Linked DNA regions of Mus musculus: region 2 is reported to be linked to region 1. The links are microRNA targets in miRTarBase. Many come from high-throughput screens and were not tested one by one. Region 1 holds a microRNA gene; the other region holds the end of a gene's coding sequence.

The links. The annotated mature microRNA mmu-miR-3102-5p reads GUGAGUGGCCAGGGUGGGGCUG and lies in region 1 at 1,920-1,941, opposite strand. An mRNA with a match to its seed (bases 2 to 7 or 8) in the 3' UTR can be bound and repressed. Matches are read on the target gene's strand: a 7mer-m8 pairs with bases 2 to 8, a 7mer-A1 pairs with bases 2 to 7 and ends in A, and an 8mer does both.
Region 2: miRTarBase lists Reps2 as a target of mmu-miR-3102-5p. The part of its 3' UTR that is shown has no 7-base or 8-base seed match.

The regions. Positions count from the first base shown.
Region 1 is chr7:100,880,469-100,884,695 of GRCm38, forward strand. It overlaps Mir3102 (microRNA 3102), which reads right to left and starts at 1,941; the gene lies at 1,838-1,941. Arhgef17 (Rho guanine nucleotide exchange factor (GEF) 17) reads right to left here. Exons shown (of 21, transcript NM_001081116.1): 4 at 3,300-3,416; 5 at 3,002-3,094; 6 at 2,648-2,824; 7 at 2,305-2,355; 8 at 1,942-2,051; 9 at 1,752-1,837; 10 at 1,225-1,343; 11 at 711-924; 12 at 133-206.
Region 2 is chrX:162,413,896-162,417,895 of GRCm38, forward strand. It overlaps Reps2 (RALBP1 associated Eps domain containing protein 2), which reads right to left. Exons shown (of 18, transcript NM_178256.4): 18 at 1-3,716. The coding sequence ends at 3,648. Among named protein-coding and RNA genes, the nearest start is that of Reps2, 230 kb to the right of the region's middle.

The sequences.
Region 1 (4,227 bases):
TATACTCAAACACGGGGAATAATCACAATGTTTAAAATACATATGTGAGATGGTACACAGCACAAAACCTCATACACATGTATGTAGCTTTGAGTAGACACGTGTCTACATGGCCCACACGCACACACACACCTGCATGCCACTGCGAGTCTTCATGATAGGGATGGCCTTCAGGAACTCAGGGTCTAGACAGCTTTTACTGGATGCTGTAGTAGAGGAGACAGGGCAAAAGGAGAGAACCCCTGCTTAGCACCCACCTTACAGTGGCTCTGGTCCCTCCCCATTCCAGTCTCCCTAGGGAGGGCCGGGTACCAGCTCAGCTAGAATGAGAGGTCATGGATTACTCCGTTTGTGTCTGGCCTCAGTTTTCCTTTCTGTACAATGAGTAGCCCTGGATCTCTAAGCTGTAGACTTAATAATAACTTTCCAGGACTTAGCTGAGTCTATACTGAGGAAGAGGAAGGTCTTGGTGGTTCAGGCGTATGCTGGGGTCCCTGTCCCCAAACGACTCTGTCCAGGAGTTCCTTCCCCCCCAGGAAGAAGCTGGGAGCCAGAGCAAATGTCCAGCCTGCTGCTTCACTGTGGAAGTCTCAGGCCACCTTCCCTATCGGCCGCTGGAGGACAGGAGGGCAGTTCAGAGAGTCCTGGCTTCTACAGTCAGGACTGCACAGGGACTGTGAGAGAAGACACCAACATGAACTCTGGCTCACCCAGCTTCCTCTTGGCCTCATCAAAGGCCTGCTCAAAGCCCAGGCGGGCATCCGGGTGGGGAAACTCAAAGATGTAGGAGTCGGTGCCCTCGGGCCGGGTGGCGCACAGCTCCAGCTTGGTGGGCGGGAAGGCCAGGGAGCAGCATAGCGCCTGCTTTTCTGACAGGTCCCGGTGCATGGCGGCCGAGAGATCCCTCAGTGCATCGTCTAGACTCTGTGGGAAAAGAACCCAGGCCTCAGGCCAAGGTGTCACCACATGGGCACCTGCACCGAGGGGACCGTGGAAGGCAGCCTCCTCCTGCCACAGACAGGGATGGGCCTTTCTCCCCCTCAGAGGTCTCCTCCCTCAGACCCCGGACCTGTCACTTCCCTTAAGTGGGAGCAAGACTATAATTTTCCCCTTCAGATAAGTGACAGGACCAACTGCTCCCTCAGGCAAAAGCCAAGACTGTCTGTCCCTCAGGCAAGGTCAGGGGAAGTCCCAGCCAACACTGCCTTAGCTCAGGGCACAGACCTGGTGGGGGAAGCCGAGGCTCTCGGAGAGCTTGCTCATTTGGCCCAGGGTGGCCAGGTCCTCATCCAGGCGGCTGATGGCTTTTTGGATGGTCTCCCGATTGGTGGCTTGAGACGCCCCTGGCGAGGACAGAGGAAAGCCATGAACACATCAAACAAGGTCAAGCTTGGACAGACACACTTCCCTTAGCGCACAGCCTTCAGCTGAGCACGGGATTGGTCTGGCAAATGGGAGCACTTCCAGACCCAAGCTCTCAGAAACAAGGTCAACAGGTAGCTCTCAGAAAAAAAAAACAGGCCCGGGAGGAGAGGTCTGGTTTAGAGTCACAGGGCACAGAACGGCCAACTCTTGGAGAACTTGCTAGGGCACTAAGAGGATGATTTGCATGGAAACTAACCCGGTTCTTCAAAACCAATCTCTCATATGGGATGAAAGATGAGTCACAAGAGCAGACAAACCAACAGACAGGCAGGCAGACTCAGGGGAAAGCCACCAGCAGAACCCCTGACAGACTCAGCCAGCCTCACCCTTGATGATGTCTGTGTCTTCCAGTGGCAGCTTCCACAGCATCTTGTATTTGCTGGCTGTATCAATGACGCTGGCTGCTGTGTACCTGTGGGTAGCCAATGGGGTGCTCTGGCTGGGGCAGGGAGTAGAGCCCACAATAGATCAATGGCTCTCCTGCCTGCACCACCCAGCCCCACCCTGGCCACTCACAGGCTCATGGAGCTGCGCCTCAGCGAGCCCGACTTTCGTTTCAGGGTGGTACAGACAATGAGGTCTGTGAACAGGAAGAGGGATCGGTCCTTCTTGCCTCCAATTGCCTTCTGTAGGGTCCAAAGTGGCATTCAGGCTCAGTGTGCACAGTCTAGAGGCCGACCTACATTACCCTAGTTCCCCAGGAACAGCAAATCCAAGGGAGGGGTGAGGGCTCTCCCCCACTTATGTGGAATCGGGATTCATGCAGGGCTCCCATTGTGTGGTGCTTGGGGAGCAGGAACCAGAGGGCAGCAGGCGCCAGAGAGTGAACTTGGGTGGGTTGAAGGTACTTGGGGGAACAGCCAATGGGAGAACCCTTACCACTTCAATAACCATCTCCTGCCTCAGGAACCGCCGCAGGGGGGCCTGGAGCTGGTGGGTAGGAGAGAACTAGTTATTAGTCTATTAACCCTGCAGTGATCGGTTGACCACTCTATGAACGAGGTCAGCCAGAGCGACATCCTGTCCTCGCTTGCATCACTGGGCTGCCAGACAGGGACACAAGGTCAGACAGAGGAGGAGGAGGAGGAGGACACAGAAGGGTGGGGCACTGTGGTCACAGAAGCAAGCTGACCACAGACCTGGACGTGGATGGCCACAATCCGGGTGACAGATGAAGACACAGACAGGGACAAGTTGGGGCACGGCAGGGTGGGGCACGTACATCCTCCATGCCCTCGATGTGGGCTTCGATCTCCTGAAGCACGCGGGCATGCCGCTCGGCCTCCTCAGCGCTCCGCACACCCTTGTTGATGCGCTCAGCCACCTGCTTGATGTTGCGCTGAGCATCGAGCAGCAGTGGGTGGTCTGGATGGTCTTCCGGTGTGTGCTTCAGAAGGTCCTGGGGCGGGAATGGAGACCTGTTTAGCTGCCCTGAGGTATTGAACTGACTGCTGGAGCATGAGAGACCATGGTATAGGCATCAAGGAGGACTTTCTTTCCTGCCTGGAGTCTGAGAACAGACATACTCCTCCCCCCGACCCCCAGGGCCTCCCTGTCCAGCCAGGCCCGTGGTTACCTTCACCAGAAGCTCATAGCGTGGGATTCTCTGCACAGGCTTGATCATGAGGTCGGACAGCGCCTGCTTTTCCTTGTTCTCACGCATGCTTTGCTGAAACCGAAGGCAGAGTGGAGGGAGTTCTCACATGAGGACTGACACGGCAGGAAGAGACACGCTCCTAGCCAAGTCCCTCCAGGTGAGCCCAAAGGCAGAGGCTGACACACTTGCAAGCACCACAATGTTTTTGGTCAAGAGCTCCTGGGATGCCCAGAGCTAGCCTGACATGTTAGCTTCACCCCTACCCCAGTCCACATACCTCCAAGAACTTGAGAAAGGCTGGCCTGGCCTCCTTAGCTACACGCACAGCATCCTTTGCATTGAGGAAGTTATCAATATAGGCCGAATAGATGTTCACCAAGACGTCTTTGGAAAACTGTGGGTGAGGAAGCAGGTTAGGCAGGCTCAGGTGTCCCTCACCCACTTCACCCTGTCCTGGCTTCTGTCTATTTAACTTGAAATGGTCAGGCAGGTCTTCTCTGTCTTTCTCAAAATTCATACATGTTGCATGCATGAACGTGACTGAATGAGCAGGTGTGTATGTATATATATGTATATATATATACACATATATGTATACATACATACAAATACATGTGCCTAGATGTGTGCTGAGACAAGACCTGGGTTGTTTTTTGTTTTTCTTTTAATGTTGCTGCGGCTGTTGTTGTTGTTTATTTGTTTGTTGTTATTTGTTTTCACTTCCAGACAATCTATCACCAGGTCTCCAATCCCATTAAACCAGCAAGGCAGGCCTCAGACCTTCCTGGTAGTAGGAGTGAACACATTATTGTAGCTTCTGGGACTCTGCCTGTGCAGTTCGTTCCTCCATGAGGAACATCCCTCCCAGCACAATAGACCCACCCTTGGCACTGAGCTGCAGTCTGCTTTTATGGAATGTGCCTGCTGCCTGACTTAGGGGCTCTCTCCTGGCAGAATGAAGCCTGGCTCAGGACAGGGTTCACAGTGGTGGCTAATCCTGCTGGTTGGCTGATGGTAGGTGCTGGTGGGGGGCGGAGGAGAGGGCTTTTCCACAAGAGAGGACAACTGGGTTCCAGTTTCAGCTGCACCAAGGACAGGCTAAGATACAGATCTTGGAGTCCCTGATTCTCTAAGGTGCCAAATGTTCCTGTCTCTGGACATGGCAGGGCTGAACCTGAGCCGATGAGGGAGGGCCTGCCTTGTGG
Region 2 (4,000 bases), not on the chromosome of region 1:
AGACATTGGTGGGAAGTCAAATAAAAGTTCATGGTTTTGATTACTTATCCCTAAAATGTGTTCAAATGAATCATTTGTGAGTGACCAACAATATACTGGAGAAAAGTATAAGCTACTACATATTGAGTTCATTTTTATCACAGTAGTCTATTTGAGAAAGCATGGGAATATGCCCATGGGAATATGCGGCTGGAATCTATTGAAAGCAGTAGCTTTAGAAAGTTCTGCCAAGATTTAAAGGAACATACTGCATCATCAAAAGTGAAGCATTAGAAGAATGGTTTAATAACATTATTTCCACTCAAATTTTATTTTTTTTTAAAGCGGAGAGAAATATCTAAATCTAAAACTCCTTAGAAGATGCTTTCATATCTACAGACCAATTAAGTCAATAAAATTCAACATGATAAATAAAAAAGGCTTTCTAATCTACTTTTAGGATAGACAGAGGACTACCTTGGAATCTATATAATCAGGCTACATCCCAATTCTACCACTAGCTATTATTGTGGATTCCTGGGCCAAGAGTCCACAATTATTAGGGATGGGATTTTCCCATGCTAGCTATAAAAGAGGAGCACTGGTCCTGCCTAGTTCTAATAGTCACACAGCACAGCTTCCATCTAAGCTGGCTTGTTTCTCAATTAGTCCCAAACACTTGTCTGATGCTTATAAAGTGCTTCGTCTTTCCAACTAGAACAAATATCTGCCTTGATTGTCACATTACACATCCATTCTTGCTATTTATCATTCAAGCTCTGCTTTAGGTTTGTGGATAGAAAGCCAGCCAAAGCTGTATGCTACTTACTAGAGATGCTAAAAGCCCCAATAAGCCCATGATCATTTCCTACTTTGCTTTCATCTGTAGGACTGGAGAATCCCCATGCAAGAACACCATTGAGCAATAGGGCAATTAAACCCCCATGAATGGAGACAAGGTTAACCTTCATGCTATAGAATTCTGCAAAACAAGCAACTCTTCATCTCTCCTCCTTCATCAAAGAAGCTTCTTTTTGTGGAAAATGGAGATAAATTCCAAAGTAGTTCTACAAGTGATATCAATGTATCTGCCTTCCTATATCATATTAAAGGCTCTCAAAAAATATTATCAGGCACTATAACTCTAAAAGTGTACATCCTAAGAAAACACAGAAGTAAAGGATAAATACTAGTCACATAACATGTATTTAGTAGTGTATATTTAATAGAAACACAAGTATTTTCTTTTAAGAATCTATGTATAAGCAACTACTCAACTGATCAAAAGTCCAGCTAAAAATACTGTGTGTGTGTGTGTGTGTGTGTGTGTGTGTGTGTGTGTGTGTGTGTGTGTGTGGTGTGTGGTTTAATGCAATGCCTCAGTTAAAATATTGGTGATGGGCTGAGGGTATGGTCCAGCATTTGCCTAGGATGAATGCTGTCCTGGGTTTGATCCCAGCACCACAAGAAATATATTGGTGAGGCTTCATTGTCCTTGATTGTCCAATGCAAGTTTTATCCTTTAAGGAAAACAAAGCCAACTAAATAAAATTCCAATCTCTTCAACCAGTTCCCTGTATCGTTTACTTCATGAGGGAAGCAATATGTCAGTGTTTTTTAACTGCTCAGTGGACTAACATTCCTTAGGTTATGTCTGCTTGGTGGATATGAAGTGCTCTCCCACGTGAGTGTATATGCACTGGAAGATCTTGAGATAAAGTGCATATGTTAGTCTTTCCTCTATTGAATGTACAAAATGCCAAACATGCTGTAATCATAACACAGCCCTCCCATCCCGGCACATGGAAAAAGGAAGTCACCTGGAATCTGTACTGACCCAACCATAATCTTAGGGGGGGTTAAATCATTCCTGAGCCCTCCCCACAAGAACAACAAACAAACAAACAAACAAAAGGCAGCCAAAGGAAAAAAGAAATGCAGAAACTGTTCAAGTTTCATGACTTTCCAAATCAAATCAGATTCAAATCCTTAAAATATGCATGGAAGAGAGTCAACAATTTGTTTTTCTTTGGAAAAAACATCATCTGTTTGAACTCTTCTCTTCTGTTGTTAAGCTACTGATAAAGCTTGCCAAAGGAACAGGGAAATATTAAATAAATGCCTATTTTTACTAAAAGCTCTCAGCTCTATTGAAATCAACAGCTTAATCTTACATATTGTAAATCTATCCAAAACCATTTCAAAAGTACCCTGTGCACACTAATGCTAATATTAAAATGCCCTGTTGAAGATCAGTGATTCAGGGACCCTATAACCCTACAGGTCAGTCATTTCCTACTTTCAGCTGGACTGTATTACGACATTTCGACAGGATAGTTGCTTCTGTAATTTAAGCTTGCTTTGTATCACTTCCACTAGAGTTAGCTGAGATCCCCTGAACTGTATATAAAGTTAATACTTCCCAAGAGTACACTTCACAGAGAACAAGTAGTCATGTAGCTGGTGGGAAGATTGCATTCTTTCATTGTGTCTTCAGAAGCAACACATCTGAAATCCAGCCTAAAATAAAGACAACAATGACAACAGCCAAGGATTGTTGCAGAGTTAGTGGCTATTTTTCTTCCCTTCTCAGCCTGGATACCCGGATTCAACAACAAATAGGTAGCTATCCAGCTACTAATATTTGTTGGGTGGTTTCCAAGCTTATACATTTACAAAGATGTTATCCCATGCAGGATAAAAGCAGAGATCTGGCAACTATTTATTTAATTTGGTCAGGCAAGGCAGTTAAAGTAGATTGTGCTTGCACAAAAATTTACATGAAAAGGACTAAGTTATCTAGGTTGATGGCCTAGATTGGCCAAGTTAAACAGTTCATTGCCAAAATTCTCTACTTCACAGAGGTGTAAAGACCCAGTAAGGTTCTGATATTTAATAGAAAACAATAGTCAGATATTATGTATAACTGACATAATATCAAAATGGTACTACAGAAGCAGTTTTTGGCATATAGTGGTAGAGGGCACAGTGCCAGTGTAAATCTGATGCTTTAATTGTATTCCAGCTTTTGATTTTATTATCATCATGCCTAAGACTATCCAGCTGGAATGCACACTATTCGGGAAACCAACATACTGTATGTAGCATACATATAAGAATAAAATGGGCATGAGCATCCTGGAAGTACAGCATTAATAGGTACTGTAGAATTATAAATTCTTTAAATAAATAATGCTCCGAATTATCTGCTAAAAGGGTAACTTAAATAAGGAGCAGTATCTAAAAGTGGTTAAAATGGGAGATAAATTCCAATGATAAGTATATTTTTGAAATGGGATTTAGGATTAAACTGAGGCTTCCTGTATATCAGGCAAGCACTCTACCACTGAGCTATACACACACTTCTCTTTTCACTTTCTATTGGAGACAGTGTCCCAACAAGCTTCTAAAAATGGCCTTGAGCTTATGACCCTTCTGCTTTATCCTCCGAAGTATTAATATTTTAAGTGCAATGATCAGTTGAAGACATATTTTACTACCACTGTAAAATACACAAGTGAAGTGCAAAAGAGAAAGTCATATAGATTGTGTTGTGCTGCTGACAGCTTTTGACATTCAGACATATATGACAAGTAGTTGGGCTTAAACACTCAAAAGGAAGATCTTGGCAGACAAGGTCACCTGCTGTCACTCAAGCCTCTAGGATGTCACAACACTGTGACTGGGCGAAGTTGTTCCAATTGGTTTTCCAATGCGATCCGTTCTTGATGAACTTCCTAAATTATACAAAACAGGAGAAAGAAAAAGAAGAAAAAGCATCATTTCGTGGGCTCATCTCTATTTCTTTACACGTTCAAAGGAAATATAGAACCAACCCTCAAACACTTGGAGACAAGTGGCCCAAAAGGCACTGATTTCAATGCTAGGGATTAGACAGTGGGGGATTCCCAGTCACTAACCTCAGCCACTGTACTGCTCAGCACTGATATGTGTTAACATAGAGTGGAAGCCTCAAAACAGCCATCTCAGCTACAGGAATGGGCAGCTAAGTTCCAGCATG